3 linked regions of the Sus scrofa genome follow. The protein of the gene in region 1 interacts with the protein of each later gene in a pairwise test. Links are inferred from orthologs where the notes say so. Each region holds a gene or a part of one and is shown on either strand. Other genes may lie near its edges. The genes, in order: POC5, CETN1 and CETN3.

Evidence for each region.
Region 2: the proteins of POC5 (region 1) and CETN1 interact in binary tests that used the Homo sapiens proteins (3 or more experiments, as listed by UniProt). The link is inferred for Sus scrofa from reciprocal best matches to the Homo sapiens genes POC5 and CETN1.
Region 3: the proteins of POC5 (region 1) and CETN3 interact in binary tests that used the Homo sapiens proteins (3 or more experiments, as listed by UniProt). The link is inferred for Sus scrofa from reciprocal best matches to the Homo sapiens genes POC5 and CETN3.

The regions. Positions count from the first base shown.
Region 1 is NC_010444.4:84,709,734-84,715,455, reverse strand, and holds part of POC5 (centrosomal protein POC5), read left to right. Parts: intron 1-1,536; coding exon 1,537-1,742; intron 1,743-3,412; coding exon 3,413-3,589; intron 3,590-5,722. UniProt on the Homo sapiens protein: Essential for the assembly of the distal half of centrioles, required for centriole elongation. Acts as a negative regulator of centriole elongation.
Region 2 is NC_010448.4:105,738,469-105,744,592, forward strand, and holds CETN1 (centrin-1), read right to left. Parts: upstream 3,759-6,124; 5' UTR 2,998-3,758; coding exon 2,479-2,997; 3' UTR 1,720-2,478; downstream 1-1,719. UniProt on the Homo sapiens protein: Plays a fundamental role in microtubule-organizing center structure and function. Plays a role in sperm cilia formation.
Region 3 is NC_010444.4:97,578,655-97,584,376, reverse strand, and holds part of CETN3 (centrin-3), read left to right. Parts: intron 1-1,268; coding exon 1,269-1,460; intron 1,461-5,722. UniProt on the Homo sapiens protein: Plays a fundamental role in microtubule-organizing center structure and function. As a component of the TREX-2 complex, involved in the export of mRNAs to the cytoplasm through the nuclear pores.

The sequences.
Region 1 (5,722 bases):
GGGCCATTTAAGCACCATGTAAGAAATGCCTCTATACTTAAGTTTTCTCATTTATAAATAAAAGACTTGGGACCTCCTAAGTTCTTAAGTTGATTCTATTTTTGTTTGTTTGTTTTTTTAAAATTGAAGTATTGTTTATTTACAATTTGCGTTAATTTCTGCTGCACAGCAAAATGATTGTTTTACATATATTTGTGTGTATGTATATGTGTATATATGTGAGAAATTATGATGAATAGTCTCTAATTCCAGTGTACATGTGTGATAAAATAGCAACTTTTCTATTTTTGTGTTTTTAAAGATAGATGCCAGTTCTCTTTCTGGCTCTGGCTCTCATTCCTACCTCCCATCCTTTTTTTTTTAATATTCTTTTCCATGATGGCTTATCATAGGATATTGACTAGGTTCCCTGTGCAGTTTAGTAGGAGTTTGTTATTTTTTAAAATATTAATATATATTTAAATTAAAGAGCTATGTTTTTCCCATGAGTGCAGATCAAGTTGTGGTAAAAGAGAATATTTATGTACTTCGTCATTCTGCATTTGTCTTTGGGTTCCTAGACCATCTTCAGAACATGTTTTTTTTCTAAGTAGCCCAAACCATTTGTTGATACATTTTTATGCAAAACATGTATTAAGAAATGGTTTTCCCTTTACAAAGTGTTCTTGAAAGATTTACCTTTAAATAGTAAATTCTACAGTAGATTTATCTTTGACTCATTCAGTAAGGAAAAGAGGAAAGCCCTTCAGTCTTGGTTATTAGAGCCCTTATAACAAAAGTGAGATACATGAGAAATTATGATGAATAGTCTCTAATTCCAGTGTACATGTGTGATAAAATAGCAACTTTTCTATTTTTGTGTTTTTAAAGATAGATGCCAGTTCTCTTTCTGGCTCTGGCTCTCATTCCTACCTCCCATGTTCATGGGCAGAGGGTGGAAGTGCATCTATTTCTCATCTATATGTTGAAGGCTAACAGAGTGCCTTACAACTGTCTAATGAACTAAATTTTTAGTCTCTTATAGTGTTGAATGTTAGTAGAGTTAAAACCCACCCCATTGTTTTGCATAAAGTAATGACCTATGTACAGTTAGTCTGACCTTGGTCCGTTACTTAACCCTTTCTAAACCTCAGTTTCCTCATCAGCGAAATGGAGGTAATAATACCTTTTTCTTAGAGTAGTGTGTGTTATGAGAGCTAATCTTATAGTGTTTTTACTACAGGAACATAGAAAGCACTTAGTAACTGTTGATATGATGATGTGGATGATAACACTTTGAACTCAGGCTACACCTAGATATACAAACCATCTTTATTTGGAGACAGGTCATTTGTGGATGGGGGAGGGAGGTGAGTTTTAAATCTGTGACAACACTAAAGTTTAAAATAACCAGATTAAGGACACTGAAAGGCCATTTCTCCATGTTTTCCTCAGCCTCCATAGATAACTGACATCTTCTAGCCTTCCAATATAACTTCTTGCCAATTTGGGTTATTTTCATTTTAGCTGACCGTTCCAACTTTTGTTTTATTCTAGGCTCATCACCAGTGTCATCCCCCAGGAAGCCGCCTCACCCGGTCATGGATTTTTTCAGTACAAATCTTTTAGTTGACTCTTCCTCACCAGGGTCTCATTCTAGTCCTATAGATGCCCATGAAATTGTTGTGAGCGATTTTCTTATTTCTGATGAAAACCTTCAAAAGATGGAAAACGTGCTTGATCTTTGGAGTTCAGGGCTTAAGGTATTACACTTGTTTGATTGTAATCTAATATGTAGTGTAGCAGTTTTGCTCTTGATTCCACTATTTAGTCTGTTTTTCTTTGAATTAAAAAGCTTTTAAAAAAACAAAAAATTCAGTCCAGTGTATTAAATCTGTGCTTCTCAGTTGTTACTGTCCAAGTGAATCACCTGGTGATTCTGTTAAACTGCAGCTTCTTATTCAGCTGGCCTTGGCCATGGCCTAAGATGATGCATTTTTAACAAGCCCCCAGGTGATGGTTCAGAAACCATACTTTAAAGAGCAGGGTTTTAAATAGTTGCTGGAACAGGTCTGCATGTTCCACTGACCTTCTCAGATGTTTCCAAAGGCTCGGCCTATGTGTGACTGAGAGAGGCACCTGTGAACCTCTCCCACATTGCAGCTCTGACTAAGGGGAAGTGCAGACCCAATTTTAGCAACATATATTCTCTTTATAGCCACTCTTCTAGCAACCACAGAATATAACCAATAAATCAATAAAAACTGATTTTTATTTTGGCGATTTTAGTAGCCTCTAAATAAAACAAAGTATTACAGAAATGGCGGTTTTTTTGCTATTTAAAAAATGGTAGAGAAAACAACAGTTTTTCTGAAACATAGTTTGAGAAAACTGAGTATTCGCACACAGGGAGAAATTATGGTCAAAAGAGTTTTGTGGTATTTACATATATTTCTCCATTATATGGAACCTTAAATTCTAGAAGTACTTTTTTTAGTATAATTTCTTTTTTTTTTGCTTTTTTTTTTTTTTGCTTTTTAGGGCCTTCCCCGCGGCACATGGAGGTTCCCAGGCTGGGGTTGAATCGGAGCTACAGGAGCCAGCCTATACCACAGCCACAGCAACACAGGATCCGAGCTGGGTCTGCAGCCTACACCGTAGCTCATGGCAACACCGGATCCTTATCCCACTGAGTGAGGCCAGGGATTGAACCCGCAATCTCATGGTTCCTAGTCGGATTTGTTTCTGCTGCGCTACAACAGGAACTCCCAATCTTTTAGTACAATTTCTATTTGTTTTCCCCCATGGAACAGGTTTCATATTTCTAGTCCTGGTGTAAGTTATTGGAATTGTGTACCACCAACCATTTAAAAATTATCCTGTGTTCAAGTTAACCACATACTGTTATCTAGTTTTTTGATAGCACAGTTATTTGGCCCTTTTACTTAGGCCAGTCAGTAGGGTGAAAAGGGATCAAACTTAGCAACTTGTAAGATGGCCATTGTGATAAATGATTTGGAGGAAGAAAGTATCAACTCCAATAGTTTCTGCTCTTCTCCATCTAGATGACGCCCTAGTCCTGCATTTCTTTGTTTTCTGATCCACCTTAAGATGGGCATTTAAGTCTTTGAATAAACGAAGGACATGTGTATTAATGAATGAGACCTAAATTTTTTAAATGACACTGAGATTTTAGGACCGTTTTTACAAAGTAACTTAAAATAGGCAAAAAATCATGTCCTTAGTATGGTGCATGAACTAAGAAGAGCTGTGACTATTGAATTTGTAGATGTTTTCATTATTGGATTTTTAAAATAGCTCTGATGTTGAGTGCATGTTTTGATTTTTAAAAAATATTTCTTAACTTCAGTGTCATTTAAAGAAGCAGTATTATGGAACAAGCAACTTAATTGTCGGTACATTTATTTTTCAGACAAACATCATATCTGAACTAAGTAAATGGAGACTTAATTTTATTGACTGGCACCGAATGGAAATGAAAAAAGAGAAAGAAAAACATGCAGCAGAGGTGAAACAACTGTGCAACCAGATCAACAGCTTGAAGGAGCTGCAGAAAGCCTATGAAGTTTCCATTGGGAGAAAAGATGAGGTCTTCTTTTTCATAACTGCTTTTTCACTGATTCAGTAAATGTCTTGCTAGGTAGTAAACACCAGGAACTGATTGTTTAGATCATACATGATACAAAGAGTAGATCATTTTAGAAACTGGTGGACCAATAGATATATAGAAATAAGATTTATTCTTTATATTAAATATGCCAGGCTCATGTCACTTTATTGAGTGCATGCTCGATGCGGGAACACTAGTTTTTTCTTTTCAATCTTCCTTCCTTCCTTTTCTTCCAACAGTACCACATTTTTTTTTCTTTTGTCTTTTTTGAGCTGCACCCGAGGCACATGGAGGTTCCCAGGCTAGGGGTCGAATTGGAGGTGTAGCTGCTGGCCTACACCGCAGCCACAGCAATGCCAGATCCAAGCCGCATCTGTGACCTACACCACAGCTCATGGCAATGTCAGATCCTTAACCCACCGAACGAGGCCAGGGATCAAACCCACATCCTCATGGATACTAGTTAGGTTTGTTAACCACTGAACCATGATGGGAACTCCAGCATTACCTACATTTTAAACCATCCTTTTAGAGGGGCATAAATATCCCACATTCTATCTATACTAAGTCTTTATTCATTCATGATGTCCTTTATTTCAGCATTTATTTCATTTTCTGTTAGCCTCTTAAGAATTTGAGAGTAGTTTCAAGTCTGTGCTATTTTTGTGCCCCCGGAGAGCATCTTGAAGAAAGCAGATGGGCAACAAATCTGTAGCTCCCCCAGGAGGATGATAGCTTTCAGAAAAGAGGGACCCACAGCAGACACCTCAGCTCCTTGTCTGCAGTTGTAGCCCTCATTGTGTTAATGAACTAGATAAGATTATGGAGTTTTTAATATCCTTTGTGGGGGGCAATGTAAAATTGAATATTTTACACAGTTTGCTTTTGTGAAACAATAGAAACTAATGTCATTCATTTTCTCTATTGCTTTCAAAACCCTGACCTAAGGTTTTTAAATATTTTAAATTTAATGTTTTTATTTCAAAATATCCCACAAAAAAAAAGTGTACATACAAGTTCAATTTTTGAAAACAAAGTGAACCAGCCATGTGCTACCACACAGCTTAAGAAATAGAATATTACTGGTGTTTTAGAATTTTTGCCCTTTTCCACTTTTGAAAATTATTTAAAGAACTAGAATAAATGTCTCTCAATAAATATGCCTAATTTACTAAATCTCTTTTTAATATGACCATTTTTAGATATATATTTTAGTTACTCAGTTCTTTATAAAAAAGAATATTATCTTAGGATTTAAAAGTCTTCATAGATTTTTTTTTTTAAAGAACAGAATAATATAACTGAAAAAGTACATCAAAGTGTAACTATTAACTATTTGCTTTTTTGAGTTTGTTGAATCTAGAAAATCATTAAACAGTTACTGAGAAATTTCTATTCTAAGATACTAAAGGCATTTAGGGACTAAAAAGATATTTGAAAACTGGTCTCTGCCCTTGAGTTTAGTGAATAAGAACATTGTGTATATGTACAAAACTCTAGAATGTATGGTTGTTTTTCTTAAATGCTGATGATTATATTTTCATATACGTAACCTTTTTTTCTTTTTTCTTTTTTCTTTTTTTTTTTTTTTTTTTTTTTTTGTCTTTTCAGGGCCGCGCCCACAGCATATGGAGGTTCCCAGGCTAGGGCTCTAATCAGAGCTGTAGCCGCTGGCCTACACCACAGCCACAGCAATGTGGGATCCAGGCCACGTCTGTGACCTACACCACAGCTCATGGCAACGCCAGATCCTTAACCCACTGAGCGAAGCCAGGGATCAAACCCAAAATCTCATGGTTCCTAGTTGAATTTGTTTCCGCTGCGCCACGATGGGAACTCCCTTTTCTCTTTTTTAATTTAAATATTTTATTATTGTATAGTTGATTTACAGTATTGTGCCAATTTCTGCTGTATAGCCAAGTGACTAGTCATACATATATATACACAATCCCTTTCTTATACTCCATCATGATCTGTCCCAAGAGATTGGATGTAGTTCCCTGTGCTATACAGCAGAATCTCATTGCTTATCCCTTCTAAATGTAGCAGTTTGTATCTACAAACACCAAACTCCCCATCCATCCCACTTCTTCCCCTCTTCCCCTTGGCAAC
Region 2 (6,124 bases), on another chromosome or scaffold:
CCCCCTGCCACTGCTTTACCCTCCATGCCCCATAATATGAGCCAATTGAGAAGCAAGATTGTGTTTAGAGGTTCTTCCTCAGCAATGGATGGGAGCCCCCTGCCTGTGTGTGGGATGGACTGTGTCCTTAATGCAACCCTCTAAGTATGGGGCTACAGCCTCCACAGTTGACCCCACGGTATTTGGGCAGCCCGACAGCTGGGCTTCAGCCCTGGTTCCTGGTTTTTGCTTCTCTCCTTTGCTGGGCTGGGAGCCAAGACGGAACCCAGTGCAGCTGGCCGAGGCTCTGACCCTCTCTTCTAGTCTCTGCCAACTTTCTTTGTTTCTGGTTTTCCTACCTTGATCCATATGTAGATCCTTGGTCCAAGACTTGGGTCAACAGGATGCCAGGAACTCTTGTTTACCAGAATGCCACCCTCCTCCCCTGGCCCTCAACTCAGGCCTTTCACACGGATGCTGATCCCAGTTGCACCTGTATTCAACTGCACCTGAATCCACAATATCCCCACAATCCACCTGAATCCTTGAACCTGAACTGTTAGCGTTTGCAGCATGGGTGTGTTCCTCTGACCTGTAGCAGCCACCTCAGCAAAATCCTTTCTCACAGTAAATGCCCACATACCCATCACTTCAGCTAGTACTGCTGCTTTGACAAATCAGTCCCTGTTAATGAGAATTAAACCCAGGGTAGTTGTTCCCCTAATTAGATTCCCGACTCTCTGAAGGGTAAAATTGCTGGCAAAGCAAGTGAAAAATTTTCCAGAATTTCAGCATTTATTTTAATGGGACTTTGTATGAAGATTTAATTTAGGCTTAGTTGTGACCAAAATATCTTGTTTAATGGTTTTGTTGTCTATTATCAAACATTTGTGTAGGCCTCCATCTCAGTAGATATATAGTTTTCCCACAATTATATTTAAATTTTCTCCAACTTCATTTTTGTAAATGTGCAAAAGGTGACATATCTTATTTTAAAACAAGAAAGACTTGGAGTTCCCTGGTGGCTTAGTGGGTTAAGGATCTAGTATTGTCACTGCTGTGGCTCAGGGTGCTGCTGTGGCTCAAGTTCACTATCTGTGCTGGGAACTTCCACGTGCTGCAGGCTCAGCCAAACAAACAAAGAACCTAGAAAGGCTTCATTTATAACAGAGGACAAGTAGCATTAAAATGTACACAAGCCACAGTGAGTGAATAGTTTCTTGGGATTATAAAATAAAGAACTATCTCTACGCCAGACACTCTGGCATCGACCATATACAAGAGGTGGGGGAAATTAAGTATCAAGAACCAAAATGTTCTAAGAATTCGAAGGTAGACAGTAGCTTATAATAAAGTAATAATAAAATGACTGACTAAATTACACTATAGTTTAATCTAACAGTTAAACACTAGTTGATCTTTCCAAGGACAGATAAGTAGTTTAAAATGTACTACAGATATATATATATGTATATATAAAATATATACATATATTTTTGTATGTATATATGTATATGTGTGTGTGTGTGTTTTTTTTGGTTTTTTTTGTTTTTTTTTTTTGTTTTTTTTTTGGCAATTCTCCTGGCATGTGGAAGTTCCTGGGCCAGGGATCAAACCTGTGCCACAGCAGCAATCTGAGCCACAGCAGTGACAGCACCATATCCTTAACCTGCTTCACCACAAGAGAACTCCCACAGACGCTTGTTAGTTTCCTAAACTGAAATCTTACATTTGTAAATATTTACTCAAAATCATTAGTTAGTTTAATCTCTTAAGCAAATTATACTTTACTTGGGCCGGTATTAAATTTTGTTTTTATTCTGTAGCCCAAGAATGAATACATTCCAGCCCTGGATAATCCACAGTAGATAACATATACACAAATGGAGAATCGTTTACATGTGATGAAGTCAGAGAATAGTCTCAGTTGCACAATTTACCACCAGCCAAAGGCAAGCCTATCCCTTAGAACAGTATCTTTCCTGAGCGCAGTAAATAGCTGCGATGTTTTCCTTCAAACCAAGATTCAGTTAAGTGAAAAGCAATGGCTAGGATGACCTGCTGACGAATCCACCTCATCCTGCAAGAACAATGACTTGAATTTAAGGAATTACATATGAAGCAAAATAATTTAAGACCACCAAAGAAGCGCCAAGAGAACAGCACTGCTGTTTTGAACCAAGAAGCCACGTTGCCTTCACTTTAATGGATGTCCACCAATGCAGGGCACATGGCCTGGGGACAGGAATTTCAGCACCCTTGATTCAACCGAAACTACTCCAGGTCTGCCCTTGGGAATTACAAACCAAAACTCATGTTAAAAGCATCTTTAAACTTCTGTAATTGAGCTAGATAGAGATTTGGAAGTAGAGCTTTTTAGACAAATTGGGGGTAAGGAGAGAGGCAGTGAAGTCCTCTAAATCAAGGTTTCCCAAAACAGAAGCAGGGAACCCGGCAAGTGTGACTCAACTCTGCACGTGCTTGTCTGAGAAACCAACATTAATAAAGGTTGGTCTTTTTCATGATCCGAAGAAATTCTTCCTCGTTCACTTCGCCGTCTCCATCCCGGTCCGCTTCGTCAATCATTTCCTGAAGCTCCTCATCCGTGAGGTTTTCCCCCAACTCGTTGGCCACGCGTTTTAGATTTTTGAATGAGATCTTGCCAGTTTCATCGTCGTCAAAGAGCCTGAAAGCCTTCAGGATTTCCTCTTTGGTATCCTTCTCGGCCATCTTCTGCGTCATCACGGCCAGGAAGTCATTGAAGCTGATTTTCCCTGTGCCTTCCTTGTCCACCTCCGAGATCATCCTCTTCATCTCCTCCTTTCTGGGTTCAAAGCCCAGCGCTCGCATAGCCACCTTCAGCTCCTTCACGTCGATGGTGCCGCTGCCGTCAGCATCGAAGAGGTCAAACGCTTCGCGAACTTCTTGCTTCTGATCTTCAGTGAGTTCAGGCTTAGGGCCCACCTTTCTTTTCTGGCTGGTGGAGGCCACTTGTGGCTTCTTGAAGCTGGAAGCCATCCTCCGGCGGTGGCGGTGGTTATTTAACGCTTGACCTCACCGCGCTTGCGCTGGGGCGCTCCCGCCTGGAACGCAGGCGCGGGGCCTCCCCTCCTTCAACCCTCGTGCTCTCTCTGGGGGCTTCGAGGTCTGATGCACTTTAACTGCCACAGTCTCCTCCATTACTACCCAAGCTGGCAAGACTTGCTTGTATCCACTATTGTCCTCTATAACTTGTTGGCATTTGTTCTTTCCAGGCCATCTGTCAGCATCCATAGGACAAGGTTAATATGGTTATTTGGAGGTTGTCTTCCTCTCTCCTTTTCCATACAAACTTAAAAAAACCCTCCTGGCCTGAGGTTACCTAAGGGTAAGCTTAGGATCATCAAGACTGAGTTTGATTCCTTGACATAAAATGTGGGGAAGGAGGAAGAGAGTATATTAAAAGTCACACCATGTGTTCAACTTGACATAAATGGAAAACAGATAAAACGGAAAAAGTTATGTAGAAAATTTGTACAAGTGTGTTTCCTGACATTATGCTCAACAGTAATGAAAGTTTCACGAGCTTATTTGGTGTGCACTGAAACATGAGATGTGATATCCACAGGAGAGATTTACTTTCAGTGATTCCATTTTGCATGCTCAGTATAATTGCAGTTGAATAATGGTCATAGTTTCATTCACTAGGCTTTGACTTGGAGAGACAGGCAGGGGCTGAAATACCGCCTTCTGGGTTGGTAGTTTAGAAAACTCTATCAGCGTATAACTCACTGTTTATCATCCAGTTGGGGCTGTGCTGAAAACCACATTCTGATGGCCCTGCTTGGGCAGTGGACACAGGAGGAGGTGATACTGGGCATGCTGGGACTCAAAATTGCCTCCTGAGAACAAAGGGGCAAGAGAAAAACAGGCTTTTCAGGTGAAAAGAAAGAACAAATTCACCAAGTCAGCCCATAAAGGGATTGTGTCTGGAATTGCTCTGTAGATGCTAGGACTCAGTGATTTTTGTTTGAGCGAAGGCTGGACATCTTTAGGGTTTTCCCTTCGCATCAATGAAAAATGAATGTTTCTTTGCACATAATTAAAATATTTTGAATAAACTATTGTTGCTTATGGTGGTAAAAATAAAAAAAGAGTGAACCGCTCCTTTTTTAAATGATTTAAAAAAACACAACAGAAAGCTGACTTTTTTCTAGCATTCTTGCAAAAAAAAAAAAAAATCTCGATTTATCCCTACTTGATCAGTTACAAGTGAGGGCAATTTCAAGAGTTTTAATTGAAGGATTTTTGTATCCTCAGCATCTAGAACAGTGCTTGACATATATTAAGTAGGTTAATAAATATTTGTTGAATAAATAAATGACAGTTAATGATGGGCTTAAAATACTTCTGAATTGCCAAAATAAAACAAACAAAACCCCCAAAAGATTAAAATATGCTAGGAGTGTTTTTTAAAATTAGTGATCAGATATTGTTTACACGACAAGCTTAATTAGCCAGATCTCACTACCTGCCTCGGTCGATATATGACATAATGGACAGAGGGCCTGGGCCCAGGCTTTCTAAAGGTCAAGGAAACTTACTGGGACATTCCTCCAACACCCGCCTTCCCTAACACTTGTCACAAATGGTGTCAACTCGAAGTAGACTTTGGCAAGTATAAATTGACATTGCCTGCCTTCCAACCCTGCAAATCCTCCTGCTTGCTTGCTTTCTTCTTTTCCTTCTTCTTTTTTTTGGCTATGCCGATGGCATACAGAAATTCCCAGGCCAGGGATTGAACCTGTGACACAGCAGCAACCTAAGCCACAGCAGTGACAACTGGTAGGTCCTTAACCCACCAGGCCACCAGGGAAGTCCCAAGCCTCCTTTATCTTAACTGGGTCAAAGAGCTTGGGATCTTATACCAAACTTTATTATCCCTGTGACTTTGAGAAAGTCACTTAACCACCCAGACTTGGTTGAAACATCTGCAAGTAGGCATACTTTGCAGTATGCTTACCGCATAGTAGGAATAGAGCTTCCTATTAGGGCTCCTGAGAGTGTTCAGGGAGCTACCCCAGGGACAGTGACTATAAGAAGCTACTTCAGGGGCCACACAGGGCTGGGTGATTGTTAGCTGAATATGAATTTGTCCCAGACATTGTGCATTTCTTTTGACATCCACTCTTCTACCCAAATGCAAGCCAAACTATGATGTGTTGGGAAAAACTGAAGGATAGAGGCTGCTTTATATAGAGCTACATTTGGGCCAAGCTGAGCTCAAAGCAAAACGGTTGTCATGGTTTCCAGATGTGTGCAATCAGCTGTCACAGCTAAGGGCCACCAGGAGCTCCTTTTGGAGAAAACAGTGCCTTTGGCCGGAGTCAGCTCTCTTAGGGAGTTACTTTGTGTTCATAGTCTGTGATCTGAAAAGAAGAAGGGAAGCTTACATTGATTAGGTGCCTAGCATTGGGCTTGGTCCTCTCATTTAATCCTTGTCATCCTTTTGCAAATGAAAAAAAAAATGAGGCCTGGGAGGGGCTGTCACATATCCAGGGGTGCACAGCCAATAAATGGTGGCTCTGGAATTTAAACCTAGTTGGTTTGGGTCCACTGCTGAGGCTTTGTTCACCACTCCACACTGCCTTCTTTAGTAGTTGAGATTATTACCAAAGTGCAGTGTCACTGGGAAGGTACGATACTAATTTTCTTCCCTTAGCCTAACAACAATTAATCATCTTCCCTAGAAAGATTTAATGAGATTTTGTAGGATCTCAGGCAGGAACCCATTGGGGCTGAGTCACTGAGAGGAGGAGCAATATGCTTGGAATTTACATTCGTTCTTCAATTCTGCTTCACCCCATACCCATTCTGCTGGGAAGCAGTCTGGGCAAAGTGTTTTTGGTTGGCATCAGTCAGAGTCTATATAATGCTTGCAAAATTCAGCTTCATTGCTTTAAAGTCACTTTTCAAGTTTGAAGAAGACCAACATAAAGTAAATGAGGTGTTCTGGAAAATCCATAGTTCTGAGCGGTTTTGTTTGGTTTTGTTCCTGCACTGAACATTTTCTATACCACATTGTCCTAGGTAGTATGCTCAATCAGTTGTTGATTGAAAGGGGGAAGAGGAGAGACGGTTGTTTAAATCTGGTCCTAGGAGCTTA
Region 3 (5,722 bases), about 13 Mb from region 1:
AAAATTTTTAATTCTATAAACCTCAGTAGGACTGACTTTTTTTTTTCTTTCTTTTTTTTAAGGGCCACGCTTGTGGCGTATGGAGGTTCCCAGGCTAGGGGTCTAATCAAAGCTGTTGTTGCCGGCCTACATAAGAGCCACAGCAACACCGGATCCGCCACATCTGCGACCTAAACCACAGCTAACAGCAATGCCAGATCCTTAACCCACTGAGCGAGGCCAGGGATCAAACCTGCAACCTCATGGTTCCTAGTCGGATTTGTTTTCGCAGAGCCACAATGGGAACTCTGGACTGACTTATTTTTAATGGCACAGTGAAGGTCATAAATATCTTCTGTGGTAGTGGTAGACTAGCATATAGAACTAACTCAGAGATGTTTGCTATTTTCAGAATTCTATCTAGTAACTTAAAAAAATTTATACCACAGATTTAAAAATTTTTGTTATTGTGATTGTTGATTAAAGACTGTGGTAATAATGAAAATATTGTTTAAGTTTACTAAATTTTTATTTACTATTACATTTAGTATATTAAAATACTTATTACTATTAAAGTCTGAAATTGCGTGTAATTTTAATTTGGCTGTCTGAGAGTTACTATCTTGCTGAACAAAATCGCTTTGACTTTAGAGAGGTCTCCTTCCCAGACCTTTCCCCCCCGCCCACTGCAATCAGATTCAATCCTTTTTATAACTGCTTTTGGGAAACCAAGAGGTTCTTCTAATCATGAAGATACCAGTGGAATTTTCATCTATTGTCTAAGAGTGTGTCTGTATCAATGATGGTAGTTACTTTGTTAATTTGTCACAGGTGTTTTCTTTTAAATTTGAGGAACAGCCAATATTACTATTAAGCAAACAACTTTTACCTAGTTGGTTTTTATTGTTTGATTTTTATAACATCTCTGCAACTCATTTCTAAACTCCTAGGCTTGTGTTTCTGATGCTAATGTAGCCTAGTACAATTCTTGATAATAGTAGATCTTAAATAAATATGGTACATAGTTTTAAAATTTTTGCTTCTGTGATACAGTTATGTTTATCTTATAATGGGATAAATTGTTAATAATATAAAGGTTAAATTTTAATATATTGATTTGGTCTTTATAATTTTATCTCTGGAGCTTTGGGCTCCAGTATGGCATTTTTATTGTCAAACTAAATATTGACACATTCACAGCTTTAATTCTTATCTAATACTTAGTTGATTTCACAAATGAGTGCTATAGTGACTATAAAGTTTTGGTTTTCACCTTTTTTTAACTATAGTGACAGACTGGATATTGGAAAGAGATCCACATGAAGAAATATTGAAGGCATTTAAATTATTTGATGATGATGATTCAGGTAAAATAAGCTTGAGGAATTTGCGACGTGTTGCCAGAGAATTGGGTGAAAACATGAGTGATGAAGAACTTCGGGCTATGATAGAAGAATTTGATAAAGATGGTGATGGAGAAAGTAAGTTTCAAGTAAAACATATATTCCAAATATTCCTAATATATGCATATAGTAAATTTTTCTAAAACCAAATTATTTTCAAGATTCTTTGCAAACTATTTAATGTAAATGTCGTTTATCCTGTAATGGGCTTTTTGTATAAATACTACTATAAATACTACACGTACTCAGTTTAGAGTGAAGCAGACCTTTAAAACCTACTGTGTAGATTATAATATGAAGTTCCATACTTTAAGAAAGTACTTTTCTTTGAGGATGAAATATCTCCAAAATTTCAGCCACTCAGTAAAATTTCAGCTTTAATACCTTCTTCCTCAAGCTGCATGTGCATCTAAATTGTAACTAAGTTCTTTGCATCTACCTTTCAGAGTTTTTGAATCTGTTTTATTTCTTTATTGCTGCTGTCCTAACTTAGGCTCTGATTTCTTTGTTGGAATGTTATCATAGTTTCATTTGTTTTTTCCTTTTTTTGTGTGTGTGTGTGTCTTTTTAGGGCCACACCTGTAGCATGTGGAGATTCCTAGGCTAGGGGTTGAGTTGTAGCTGTAACTGCTGGCCTGTGCCACAGCCACAGCAATGGGAAATCGGAGCCGTGTCTGCGACCTACACCACAGCTCATGGCAATGCCAGACAATCCTTAACCCACTGATTGAGGCCAGGGGTTGAACCTGCGTCCTCATAGATACTAGTCAGATTCGTTTCTGCTGATCCATGGCAGGAACTCTTATTTTCTTGAATGCCTGCTGCGTACACTGTTCTGTTTGTTAACTGATGCTACCCAGTGACAAAGGCTTATGTTGTCCCTGCTCTGCACTCTATGCCTGTAAGCCTCTACTCTCTTACTAATTTATTCTAAAGCATTTTTTTCCCTAAAATACAGTTTTAGTGATTTCATTTTCCTGTTCTAATGCTTAAAATGATTACTCAGTGCCTACAGAGTAAAATCCAAAGCCTTCTGTGATCTGTCCTACCATAAGTATCTAGTTTTATTCCCCACATTATTTTTCTGCTTTCTACTTTAACCCTCGCCTCCATATAGTATGCACACTGTCACAGAATACACTCTATCCTGTCTTTTTATGTTTTGCCTTTCATGCTATTCTTTAATCCTAGAATGTTCTGTTTGCCAATTTGTTGGCTAAAATGTACATTCTGAGGTTCTTTTTAAACTCTGTTTTTTTTTTTTTTTTCCTCAAAATCCTCTCTCAGTGATCTCTGTTTAAAAATTATGAGAGCCCATTGAGGGCCCATAGCATTTAGAGAAACAAGCTATTTTGACACTTCTATATTCTGCCTTCTCTTAGGTATATACATGTGTGTCTCTCCAGTAATATTGTGAGCCTGTAAAGGGCAGACAATCATATAATGTGAAAGACCTAAGGTTTTGGACTCAGGCAGACCTGGATTTGCATTGAATCTCTACCACTTACTTAATTGCCCTAATTTTGTGCAAGTTTTCTGAGTCTCATTTTTCCTATTTATATCAATAAGAATGGTAATACCTTCCAGGATGGTTATGGGCATTAAATGAAAATAATTGAAGATACCTAGCTTTATTTTTATTTATTTATTTATTTATTTTTTGTCTTTTGTCTTTTTAGGACTGCACCTGCAGCACATGGAGGTTCCCAGGCTAGGGGTCTAATTGGAGCTGTAGCTGCTGGTCTACGCCATAGCCACAGCAATGCCAGATCCGAGCTGCGTCTGTGACCTACACCACAACTCACGGCAAGGCCACACCTTTAACCCACTGAGCGAGGCCAGGATAGAAACCTAGTCAGATTCGTTTCCACTGCGCCACGACAGGAACTCCAGAAGATGCCTAGCTTTAAATACAAGCTTATTTTCCTTTTTTTCCATCTTTGTAGTCTTCATTTTTTTTTAACATGGTGAGTACTTTGATGTTTGCCGACTTAAGCAGCAAGCAGGAGTGTGTGTTACAGGAGATACATGTTGATATAGTCCTAACTATATATTTTTACTTATATTATCTTGAAAATACTGTCATGCTTTAATAAGGAGATAAGACTGTAGCAACTAGTTATCAGTTTAGGTTTGTAGATTGTCCATTAGAATTGTGCTCTATTGTGCTTTCTCATATTTATGTGACTATTATTTAAGCATTATACAACATTTCTTTTTCTGATGCTAGCTCTATGAAGAGTACTGATATAGTTACTTATATTTTAAAACAGAAATGATTAAAACTTGAGAAAATTTAAAGGATTTATTTAGCTGTTATTCTAATATTTGGACTTTGCATCCACTGCCTTCATATTTAAAAAATTCTTGTATCCTCCCTAGCTGTTGATTATTACCCTAAATTAGCTTTAAAGGAGTCCTTTATGTAAAAGTACTTTCTTCAGTGGTAGAGCAAATCATGGTATGTCTATTTTCTAAATCTTTAATAATAGCTACTATGCGTGTCAGAAGATCAGAGTTATAAAGTTTCTTTTTCCTGTAGGAGGCACATGCAATACAGATTTTAGTTATTAGCTTCATTTGATATTAGTAGAAAATATCAATTAGGAAGCTGCTCTTAAATTCAAACTTGATATGAGTGTTTGCTTAGACAATGTGTCCATTTCTTGTATTCCTTGTTAGACTGCTCTACCTACTGTTGCTTTAGAGTCTGAGTTCACACCTGTGCTCCATTGCTAGAAAATTTTATTTTAGTGGATCCTTAAAACATTTCTTCAATCTTCACTGCTTGTCTTACTCTGCTTTAAGTCACTGTACAACTATTGCTTGGCAATCCTCCTGTCCTTTATTCAAATGACTAAGAGGCAAATAACATTTTTTTCTCCTTTTTTCCCTAGTGGTTGATTACAAATAAAATCTACCTGACACATAATCTTTTATTGTTAAGATACATGTTTTTGTGGAGGAGAAGAGAGTGGGTCATATCATATTAAAATAGCCTAAGTTTGTAGTTTCCAAGACAGGGTGTGGGTGTCTAGGGGTGGGGACCTTCTGAAGTATTGCACAGGGCTGGGAGTTCATGTATGCATCAAATATTGTCTGTAGACCTTATGAATAATAGTATTGATGTACATGCATATTTAAGCTGTTATTTTTCAGTTATTTATCTAAATGCTATTGTGATTGATAAATACACTTATTGTGTAAAATTTATAGTACCTGTTTGACATTATCTACTTCTCAAGATTTACTGAAGACAGCTGTTGTAGCAAGTCCTGATAATTATTGCTGAGGTCATTTTCATATTCAGAAACAATGAGAACTACAACTCAAATCTATTTAGTGGGACTAGGAATACTGCCTTAACTTATATTGGGTCTCTGCAGCTACCTGCAAATCTGCCCAGTTTTGAAAAAGTAACAAGTTAGATTTTATCATAATGTTAATCTGATCACTTAATCTTTTTGTTTGTTTGTTTGCTATTTTTGGCTGCAGGCAAAGTTTTGCCTAGATAGAACCTCTTTCTTTGTATATTTTAAACTATTAATAATCATAATACTTTGCTGCCTTTTTTGTGGACTTTAGTAGTTGTTCTATATTTATGAATTTTTCATACTGTTCAGTTTTTCAGAGCAATGAAAGTGTTTTTATTGTATATATAGAATAATAAATGTGATGAATGAAGAATTAAAGGAAAAGAAGACAATATGAAGTATAAATAAAGCTATGGTAATGATATAGAAAGAATCCCCCCCCCCAAGATATATAAAACAGAGTAAATCTTTTTGAGTAAATGGAAGTAACATTATTTATTTATATATTTATTTATTTTGTCTTTTTAGGGCTGTACCTGAGGCATATGGAAGTTTCCAGGCTATGGGTCTAATTGGAGCTGTAGCTGCCAGCCTGAGCCACAGCAACACAGGATCCGAGCTGTGTCTGCTACCTACCTGGCAGCTCACAGCAATGCCAGATCCTTAGCCCACTGAACGAGGCCAGTGGGTACTCCTCCGTCCTCATGGGTACTAGTCTGGTTCTTGTTACCGCTGAGTCACAACGGGAACTCTGGAAGTAACATTTAAAAAGCCAAAGTGGACCATCTTCTGAGTAACTGAGATGAATGTTAATGTATGTTAGATTCTATGTATAGCATGTTGTGGTTATTAAGCATCACATGCTAATCCCATAGCATGTTATGGATTATGTCACTTGATTTTCATAATAGCTTTTGTGAAACCAATGTATATACCTATTTTTGCATAGTGTAGATGAGGAAACTGAAGCTCTGAGAGTTTAATAACCTGTCTGATATTATTACAAAGCTAATACATGGCAGAGCC